Linked DNA regions of Oryzias latipes. The protein of the gene in region 2 interacts with the protein of the main gene of each other region in a biochemical or structural test. Links are inferred from orthologs where the notes say so. Each region holds a gene or a part of one and is shown on either strand. Other genes may lie near its edges.

What was found. The genes of interacting proteins can lie anywhere in the genome.
Region 1: the proteins of gopc (region 2) and somatostatin-like receptor F_48D10.1 form a complex in vitro, tested with the Homo sapiens proteins (2 studies listed by BioGRID and IntAct, with this or other methods). The link is inferred for Oryzias latipes from reciprocal best matches to the Homo sapiens genes GOPC and SSTR5.

Annotation. Positions count from the first base shown.
Region 1 is NC_019859.2:28,479,871-28,485,986, reverse strand, and holds the start of somatostatin-like receptor F_48D10.1, read left to right. Parts: upstream 1-2,448; 5' UTR 2,449-3,021; coding exon 3,022-3,591; intron 3,592-6,116.
Region 2 is NC_019882.2:11,942,761-11,947,873, forward strand, and holds part of gopc (Golgi-associated PDZ and coiled-coil motif-containing protein), read left to right. Parts: intron 1-841; coding exon 842-1,006; intron 1,007-1,912; coding exon 1,913-1,936; intron 1,937-3,072; coding exon 3,073-3,248; intron 3,249-3,374; coding exon 3,375-3,540; intron 3,541-3,616; coding exon 3,617-3,712; intron 3,713-3,995; coding exon 3,996-4,160; intron 4,161-4,237; coding exon 4,238-4,412; intron 4,413-5,113.

The sequences.
Region 1 (6,116 bases), on a different chromosome or scaffold from region 2:
TCAAGTTAAAAGCAATCGTTAAAAGCAGCGTAAAAAAGTCCACCATCACCAACGGGTTTGGAAAAGTCGGTTTGCTGCGTGACGGAGAGAACAGCGCATGGAGTGAATGTACACTCCATTTACGGTTTCTAAAGAAAACGTAAAAGCGGAATTTTGCTTTGAAAAGCTCACAGCCTCCGTGTGAGCTGGAGACATCTTCTCCTGCTGATTGAGCTGCGGGGCCGATGGCAGTCTGAAGGCTCCCACACGTAACAACGCACCCGCCCCTCATACACAAAACGTACAGTATTAAGTCCGATTGCTTTGCACAGAAACGATTTGCTCCATCCACCGGCGCAACGGGGACGAAGTGCTCCTCCTTGAAGCCGCCCTGGCCAGAGGTGTCGGAGTAGATAGGAAGGGGAGACAAGGAGCGCGCGGGGCGGGAGCGGAGCGCAGAGGCGTCCGCGGAGTGCAGAGGCTTTGAATTCTGACGCACGCGCCGCACTGAGGCGCGCGTATCGTGCTGAGGCGCGCGCTTTTCAGTCGTCGCTGCTTTATTTTACCGGTGTGTTTTTTAAACAGTCCTGTTACTCCCATAACGCTGCCGCGACACAAGCGGAAGGAGAGCTTTTCCCGTTCACCCCTCCATGCACTGCTGATACTTGCTCATTCTTAAACACATACAATAGTATGGCGAGCCGGGCGTTGGCCCCGCCTTTAGCCCCTAAGACTCATGGGAAATGTGGAATCGCGGATGTAAATTTCCTCATTATAACTGAGGGATGTAATGTTGATTATATGGTTACTGTTTGTAATTTTATGTATGATACCTAGATTGTCAATAAGTAAAAAGAAAAGAAAAAAGAATGAAATAAAAACACCATAACTGAGGAACTTGTGAACAGAATACAGGTCCATGCTGTTTGACAGATATCGATACACTCAAATACATGAGCCAGAGGCAAAGCTGGCTACACCCACAACGTGCTAATGAACTGCACTCACTCTGGGAAGCTGACCGTGATCTGTCAGGATGACAATATCGCCTAACACATGCGCGGCTTGTACTCTGACGCGGCTTGTGTATGTATAAAAGTAGTTTAACACGTAAAAATGGGTGGGTGCGGCTTGTAATCGGGTGCGCTTTGTAGTCCGGAATTTACGGTAATCCATGGACACCAGTGAAGATCACAAATCATTGAAGAAAAAAGGTTCAGCGCACTGTCTAGTGGGGTCCAGATGACCCAACTCCCAATGTTAAAGTGCCTAGAATAGCACAAGGGTTAAGTGACGGGGAGTTTGTAAAAGGAATGTGCTTGAAAGTAGCTTACATTGTTTGTCCAGAACAAAAGAAAAAGTTTGAATAAATAAGTCTGTCAAATGATACAATTACTAAACGAGCAAAGATCTGCGCAGCAACCTCCGAGAGCAACTGGGAAAACATCTGGAGGACCTGGTTAACTGTACAAATGACACTTGGTCATTGAAGTTATTAAAAACCACTTTTTCTGTTTATCCATTATTTTTCCCCAAAATTGGCCCCTGGTCTAATGTCGAGTTCTTAATTTGGCCCTCCGCAACAAAAACTTTGAGAACCCCTGTTTTAAACGATTTGTTTTGGGTAAAATCTGGTTTGGGAAGCACAAATATGAAAAAAGCAGGAGGGGGGGGGTCTAACCCTCTCAGAACTTCTGCTAAGGACACATCCAGAAAGAGTGACAGCTGACTTGCAAAACACACAGGTGCAGTTAGAAACAAACACAAAATACAAAAACTGCGTCATATAAAGGTATTCTAGAGTCCTCCTCAAAGCAAGCAAAACCCCATGCAGAGCAGGGAGTGCAAACACCTCCCTGAATCAGGCAGAAGTTCCAGCTTCTTCACACATTTGCTCTTCTAAAAACCAGAAGAAAGGCTGAAGAAAGCTACAATCTGCTGATCAACATGATCTCTGCCATCGCTATATTTTAAGACTCGTTTTATTTTTGCCAAATCTCAAAGGCAAAAACAAGATTGAGACAGTCAGTCACGCTCTGCAGTGTCTGAAACACGGGAGAGCAGCAATATGTTGAAAATGTGCCATAAATGCAGACGTAAACCACACTAAAGTAGTGACTTCCAGGTAACATAGGTGTGAAATAAAGAAACGATAAAACAGAGCATTAATAGATAAGGTTTTCCGTTTTTGACAGTTCTCTGATCTAACATCTGTAATCCTTAAATCTCAGTGAAGTGACTGAATAAACTTGTGCTCGCGAAAGTTGCACGCGGGTACAGACGCTCCCGACAAACCTGTTGGATTTTTCATATTTTTGTTTGATATTTATAACGATATGAATAAATAATATTACTGAAGATGGATGTGGTAATGAGTGCACATATGTGTTTGCGTATGCGCGCGCTCGTGTATGTGTGTCTTGGGGAGGGCTGCTCCTCGCGGTCCCTCCGCGTGCGTGCCGCTGCACCTCTCTTCACTCACGTGAATGACACAAAAGCTGCGCGAGCCTAAAGTTTGATGCAGATCTTTGCAGATCATCCATCGCAGCTTTTAAGATTATCGTGATGCCGTCAACAGTTAACGTTTCTTTGCACATTTGGACCAGAACAGATGAGGACCTCCGCGCGCTCCTATGCCTCCCTGCAGCAGTTTAAGTTAAGCTGCAGAACCGCTCGTGAGCAGAGAGGACACCGGAGGTGAAGTCTGTATCTTTGGACGCGCTGGCACAGGTTGACGCACGAACGTCCACGCGATTTACGGAGCAGCTCGGCAGATCTTCCTGTTGTGATACCTGGAGCGTGACCACATGCGTGGATTCATCTACTTAACCGGAGCTGGACCCTAAAGCGTCTGAGAGTCAGACAAACCTGTTGACTTCACATAGAATTAAATTTTTGTCTCTAGGCTTAATTGCGTTTCAAGCCTGGTGGAAGTTTTGTTCAGGGACATTGTGACCTATCATCTTGGGATTTGAGCCCCTGACCAGCTGATTGGGATGCAGCTGAACCTAAAAAGCTGGACTTAAATCTGCATTGGACTTCATGATGGAACCTCAGAACTGGTATACCTTCCCAGAGCTGAATTCCTCTGAAACCACTGCCACTCCCTTTCTCTACTCCAGCCATCTCCCCCCAAGCCTCTCCTCCAATTTGTCCACTCAGACCATCCCCTTTCAGGGCAGTAGCACCGTGGTGACAGCCATCATCTCCCTCACAGTCTTTATGTTTGGAATGACTGGAAACACACTGGCCATCTACGTGGTGCTCCGCTATGCCAAGATGAAGACCGTCACCAACATCTACATCCTCAACCTGGCAGTTGCAGATGAGCTGTATATCATTGGGCTCCCCTTCCTCACCACACAGAACGTGCTCTCCTATTGGCCGTTTGGTTCCTTCTTGTGCCGTATTGTCATGACCGCAGACTCTATGAACCAGTTCACATCCATCTTCTGTCTCACAGTCATGTCCATGGACCGTTACCTGGCAGTGGTCCATCCAATCCGCAGCACCAAGTGGAGACACCCCCGCGTGGCCAAATTGGTGAGCGCAGCGATGTGGGCTGTGTCCTTTGTGGTGGTCCTACCAGTGGTCATCTTCTCTGATGTACAGGTACAGTACACCTGTAACCCCCCCTCCCCATTGTTTTCCCAGTTATAGATGTGAACAAGCTAAGACAGTTTTTGAAGAACAATTCCTACACAAAATTATGCAAGGTGTCTCACAAAAATAGACAAGAATTAAAACAATAAAAGCAAACATTTACATCACAAATAGAACAGAAAAATTAATGCGAGGCAAAAAAGTATTTGATAGTAATCGGTTCAGCAAGGTTAGCACTCTTGCCTCACAGCAAGAGAGGTTCAAGTCCCAGCTGGGGGACCTGAAACAGAACACCAGTGGGGGACCTTTCTGTGTGGAGTTTGCATGTTCTCCCCATGCATGCGTGGGTTTTCTCCAGGAACTCCGGCTTTCTCCCACCATCCAAAAACATGCTTCATAGGTTAACTGGTTAGTCAAAATGATGGCCCTGTGACAGACTGGCAACCTGTCCAGGATGTCCCCTGCCTTTACCCACGAGTGGCCAGGATAGGCTCCGGCAGCCCCGTGACCCTGAAAGGGCCAAAACGGGTTTAAGAAGAGGAATGAATGAATGGATGGATGGATGGATGGATGGATGGATGGATGGATGGATGGATGGATGGATGGATGGATGAATGAATGAATGAATGAATGAATGAATGAATGAATGGATGGATGGATGGATGGATGGATGGATGGATGGATGGATGGATGGATGGATGAATGAATGAATGAATGAATGAATGAATGAATGAATGAATGAATGAATGAATAAGCTAACGAACAATTCTGCTAGTTGTCTCACATAAAATGATGGGGATAAACCAGTACAAAAATATAAATATATATATATATATATATATATATATTATCCAAGTGAAGACATTTCACTCAAGCAAAAAGGAATAGTTTATTAAAGAAAGTTAATAAAATGTTAGAGTCAAACCAAGGTGGAAAGAAACAAAACACAAACTAACTCAAATATCAAACATGAGAAGTCAAACCTGAACCTAACCAAACAGGAGAAATAAATACGAGAAAATTGTGATTTTTACCCGCAAAAATTAGAAACCAAGTAAACATTTGCATAAATGTAGTCATGTTTATCAGCAAGCCTTTGCATGAAATGTTTTTGGTCTTCTCTTCCTCTGTTATTTGCTGTCTGCACATGATGTAAACAAGCACACGCGAGACACACTGCTCCCCCGCGGTCACTTCACCTGTGTCGTGTTAAGTTTTGGCTGATGAAACACAGGGACATGTAGCGATTTTTAACAACACCCAGTAAGAACGAAGGATAAACCTGTTACACCTGCAGCAGAGCTGTTCCGTCTGTCACCTAAATGTAAACAGGACTGACCTTTAAGACGTGGCGGATAAATACAACAAGATTAATTCATTGTTATTTTAAATATATATATATATATATATATATATATATATATATATATATATATATATATATATATATATATATATATATATATATGTTTGAAAATGGGTTTACAGTTAGATGATAATAATAAATAATAATGGATTGGATTTATCTGCACTTTTCCATCATGGCCATTATTCATTAACTCCTCATTAATTCCTGGTGATGGTAACCACTGTCGTAACCACAGCTGCCCTGGGGCCGACTGACAGAGGCGTGGCTGCCAGTTTGCGCCTACGGCCCCTCTGACCATCACCGGGACATTCATACACATTCACACACCAGTGGAGCTGCACTGGAGGCGGGCAGGGTGAAGTGTCTTACCCAAGGACACGACAGCCTGTGGCTGACAATAACAACGTGTTCATACCAATTTAAAATTTTTATGCAATGTCATTTTCTTTTAAAAAATTGAAAAAACACTTTAAAAGTTAAACGCCTAAGGTATTTCTGTGTAAAATAGTCTTATTATTTGGCCGAAGGGGGTATTTCAGTCATTTTAAATCCCACAAAAAACAGAACAACCACCAACCTTTTTTATTAGCTGAAGCAGAGTCACCAAGCATATTTCAATCTCTGAAATAAACGATAATTCTCCAGCCAAAGTAACAAAGGTAAGACCTGCACAGCAGGTTTGTTCTGTAAAACGGGAAAACATTAGAGTTTATTTGTAGAATTAATGCTTTGTTTTTAAATGAAACTGATAAAGCAGGTTGATGTTCTGTTTTATTTATGTTCTCTTTTGAAACTTTGACTTTAATTTTCTCTTTATAATAACCATTTCATCCTGTTCCTTCAGTGTATCTGTTATGTTTAAAGTATGATTAAAAAGAAAATCTAAACAACCTGCTGATGATTACAGATTTCTTTTATGAACAACAGAGTCTTCAAGTTTGACAAATAGTAAAGTAAAAGAAGTAAAGAAATCCTTCAGTTTATGTAATTTTTGCTCTAAAATTACAGGGTGGTGTTAGATTTTAAGTGATTCAAGTAATGGATGTAAAAATTAAGAAGATATTTTGATCAATTATGTTATGTCTGCTAGGAAGGCGGAGAAGTTTCATTTTGGAACGCGTATGCAAAATGTTCATCTAAGTGTAGAAGTTTTGTGGCATCTCCA
Region 2 (5,113 bases):
CAGACATTTAATAGACAGTGCTTCTTTTTTGCACCATGAGTGTGGGAGGGGGAGAAGATGATGACACCTGTGAGGTGTACAGTGTCATGAGTGAGTGTCAAAATAAAAGCTTAGGGTTCGTCTTGCCACATCTCTGTTGGTCGTTTATCGTAGTATAGCGACAATAATCATTCACCTTTAATTACATGACCGGTCCGTGGAACCTCTGTGTGACGTCATACTGGTCCGTGGCGTTGAAATGGTTGGGGACCACTGCTCTACACAACTACAACTGTCTGTCTACGAAAGGAAACGTTTGTAATAGACTGTGGTGTAATAAATGCCAATGTCTCTGACCGCATAAAAACATGGAAATCAATTCCTAATTTGCAATGCAAAGTGTTGATATTTAAACTCTGGAAACTCAAAATTTTTGATGCTCTGCTGCATGAAACAGAATTCCTCTAGATGCTCAAATCGCATAAAAAGCTAAAAGAAAAAACAACAAATTTTGCTTTGTAATTTACCAAAACGTTTTTGTTTTACACATGTATCAATAATTATGAACGAAGCAAAAAACATTCCTATATATTCAGAAGGATTTTTCTTCAGAATTTCTGATCTGCATCGTCGATGCAGGAGCTTTGTCTACGGTTACTTGTCTGAGCTGGTCCGGAACCCCTTAAGCAACTGTGGTGCTGTCCGTTTGAGTCTTGCTACGACATACAGTTCCTCTCGTCATTCAACCTGCCAGGTGGAGTACAGTCCCTAAATCAAGGATCTGTTACAGGATTATCTAAAGGTCGGTCCTGGTCTGACTTGTCTGCATTTATGTTGAAAAACACTCTTCGCTTGTCTCCAGGCTCAGCTGGTCGACCTGCGCTCCGAGCTGACGGAGGCGAAGGCTGAGCGGGTGGTGGCGGAGAGGGAGGTCCATGAACTGCTGCTGCAGTTGCACGCTCTCCAGCTGCAGCTTCGGGCCCAGCAAGGCCAGACAGAGGACTCAGACACCATCAAGGACAGACTGGTAGGTTGGATGGTCAGACGGTCATCGATTGATCCATCAAGTAACATCAAATGAAATCCATTAGGTTCAATTCTAATGGTAAAGTTCTGTATGATCCGAACAGAATAGATCTAACAGTTATCGGCCGTTTGGAGCTAGCAGTCATGGGTAACCTTATCAACGTTAGCCTTCAGCCGTCCACCTGGTGTTTTCAGACATCTTTATTAAAGACATCTCTGGTTAGACAGGATAAAGAAATATAAATTAGTCAGAATGCGACTACAAAACTAAAACAGCATTGTGCTTTTAGCTCCACTGCTCTGCACTAATGTCCTCAATGAATCTCAGAAAGAGGAGTTTTTATGGAGCTTCTTACATCATAAATGTCTCCAGAAGAATGCTCCACTGGGACAAACAGTGACAGACACAGATCTGGGTTTCAGAGGCTTCAATGGGGCGGGAGAATCCTCCACTCACTGTAAGCTCAGCAGGCCACAGTGGTGGAAAATTCACTTTTATCTGCAGATCTCTGATGACGCTGAAGAGACTCAGCGAAACTAAAGAAGATAAGAAAAGGTAGAAATACATCCAAACCGCATGAAATGACCTCCAGCAGCCATACCAAAGATTTCTCCTCACTGCTAAAGAATACATTTTTCCATTTCTTTCATTTAGAATATATGGGATTTAAACAAATAGAATGTTTATTTTAACTCCTTTGTTTACTGTTGCAACTGATGGTTTGGTCTTTTACTGTTTCCATCTACAGTTTTCTGCTCCCTTTCAGCACCATCCTGAAGCCCTGATATGCACTTTGATTCTTTGTCATTTTTGCCTTTCCTGTGCACACATTAACACCAATCAAAGATGAGTTTCTCTAACCCACATTTTCTTCTGTCTGTCCTTTCTCCTCTTCTGTCCTTAAAGCCTGCACCAACTCTGGAGGTGATGGTAAGTTCTCCTCTCCGCTTTGGTGTAGCTGTAGATTTGACACCATGGGATCTGTTGCTTCCCTCATTGAGCTGATATTTACTTCCTGCTGCTTTGTCGACTCTGCTTCAGTGGCTTGTTGGGTGGAAACGCCACTCCCTCCCCTCCCCTCACTGGCTACAGTCATTACTTGGCCAGTCACCATCTTGGAAATGGAAATATGAGCTCATCAGTCAGTGTCAACGTTGACTTTTTCCATGAGAATGTTTTCTGAGATGGCACTTTATGGTTACGCCAAATCTAATAACTGCAAACAATCCTAATGAAAAATTTCGTTTTGTGCAATGATTTGGTCTAAATCCTAAAGAAACTTGTATATCTAGATGAGAGAAAATATCTATTGTTTTTTTATGAAGCTCTACGGCTCAAAACAGAATTAGGAACTTTATGGTACTATTTTCCGTCAAAATGTGCCTCACACCAAACAAACATGGAGGAAGTCAGTAGCAAATGCGCTCCAGACTAGAAAATTGTTCCGTCGCATGAATGTAGTTTGTATAGAAGAAGACCGACGTGGATCAGACAGCATTTGTTTGTAAAGTTTGTAAGGTGTTGTGTCAAAAAGAAAGCACTTCCTGGTGAGGAACGCTGTCAGACGGGGTGCAGGGGGGTTTTCTCTTTTGGCAAAACACCTGTTGACCGGTCCTAACAACAAACACACAACTAATGGAGTTTGTCGTCTCTACAGGAACCATAACCAAGAATGCAGAGAGAATCAACAAGCAAAAGCTATAAAAGCAGCGTCTAGTGACTGCAGAAGTCACACAAAAGTCCAGACGCTGCATTCAGGCACAGCTAGGAATTGGCCTATGCTAAATAGTAAATATGTTTAGCAGTAGATGTTAACATGATTAACACTTGGAAAAAGGTTCTAAGTGAAAGAAGTATTTAGTTTCTATGACCATTGTTCAGTTAGTCGTGTCACACTGCCTTTCCACGTTGCAATGTTACTGATATCTTAATCAGGATATAAACCTAGCTATGTCATGATATATAACATTTTGATCATTTGGAGCATAATCGTCCTAAAACCTATAGTTTGTTGTGTCGCCAGTTTGCAAAAGCTCAAACGTGATTAGTTGTGCTTTTTTTTCCAGGAACAGGAACTTATGGCTGGTAAGAAGGAGAAGTTAGCTGAGGCCAGACTGGAGAAAGAAGTGCATCTGTTTAGGAAGGAAAACGAGGCCCTCCGCAGGCACATAGCAGTACTGCAAGCTGAGGTGTACGGAGCCAGATTGGCTGCCAAATATCTGGACAAGGAGCTGGCTGGAAGGTGAGAAGCTGGAGGGAGCAGCGGGTTTAAAGATAAGACCTGGTGATGAATCTTTTTCATTGAGTAAACGAGACTTAGGTTGTCTAAGGGTTGTCTTCCCTAAGAGGCTGGCACTGTGACTTTCAGGGTGCAGCAGATTCAGTTACTCGGTCGGGACATGAAGGGACCCGCCCATGACAAGCTGTGGAACCAGCTGGAGGCCGAGATTCACCTCCACCGCCACAAAACTGTAATCCGGGCATGCCGAGGTCGCATCGACCCAAAGAAACCTCTACCCTCTCCTGTGGGACACGTGAGTGGAGATCTCAAACATCTAAATGCCGTTCATGTTTTCATGGTTTCGCTAAAAGCTATCGGTGCAATTCCAGGAACATGACTTGCTGAAGAAAACGCAGGGAGTCGGTCCTATCAGGAAGGTGGCGCTGGTCAAAGAGGACCATGAAGGCTTGGGGATTTCTATCACGGTAAATACACGATTGACCTCTTTTGTGAAAAATAAAGCAACTATCTGACACATAGTAGACCCATAGAAGGCATTGGTTTGAACCAGGCACTTTGTATCTGGGAAATGTAACCTTAAGGAAGCACCAATTACCAGCCATGTTTTAGATTCTTTCTTAGACTTTTCAGGAAGTGAATTTGTCACTTTGGTCTTAAGTAACCCTCTGCAATAGTAATGGAACAAATGTGTTAAACTTCTTAGATCCTGTTTTGGCTTTAGATCCTTTAACTTGGATTTCCTTTTAGGGCGGGAAGGAGCACGGCGTTCCCATCCTGATTTCTGAGATCCATCCCGGTCAACCTGCAGACCGTTGTAGAGGCCTGCACGTCGGAGATGCCATCCTCGCGGTCAACAGCATCAATTTAAGGGATGCGAAGCACAAGGAGGCAGTCACCATCTTGTCACAGCAGGTAAGGTGTGGCTGCAGTCCCCGCTGTGGCCACAGGGAGCGCTCTCTGACCTACTCATTGTGGCGATTGTGTTTTAGAGAGGCCAGATAGAGTTTGAGGTGGTGTACGTGGCGCCGGAGGTGGACAGCGATGACGAGAACGTGGAGTATGAGGACGACAGCGGACATCGATACCGCCTCTATCTGGATGAATTGGAGGACAGCAGCAGCGGCGGCGGGGCTCCACCCAACAACAACGCCGCCTCACTTCAGGGTGAGATGAACTAAAGACAAATTGACACAATTGTCCAGATTAGAGAAACACGTTTCACCAAACTCAGACTATCTGTCGGATTTGAAAAGTATAAAAAGGTTTTGAATTGGATTTTTTAGGACTTTGACTTGATCTCGTTTGATTTAACACCAGAACTTTAGTTCCAGTGTTGACACTCTTTCGGCTATTGTAACCTTTTACGCCTCTAACGTAGTAATTCCCTCTGATTCTGCTACTTTACTTTGGTGATGTGTTGCATATGGGTGCTAACCCAATAGGAAAAGCTGCTTTTTTCCAAGAGTCAAAGACTTACGGTACATCAGAGAGTACCTTATTTAGGTGTTACTGGTGACATTTCTGGTGTTAAAGGGTTGAATTCAGTCATAAGAGGTTGACTTTGATTGTTTAAAATGTTAAATATTTGAGTTGCACTAATGCACTATTGCACTAATTTTAAAGAGTTTTTTTCCTTATCGGTTTGTGCTAGGGCTGCACGATATGAGGAAAACTTGCGATATGCGATATTAGTGATCAATATTGCGATAACGATAAATTTGCGGTAAATAAACAAATAGTAAAATAAACAAAAACATCATTCCCATTTCATTGCAACAGTTTAAAAATTATACTCCAAATGACCCTCATCGACATGGGGTCAAACGTCAGGGTGGCTAACCCTGGTCCTCAAGAGCCTCAACCCT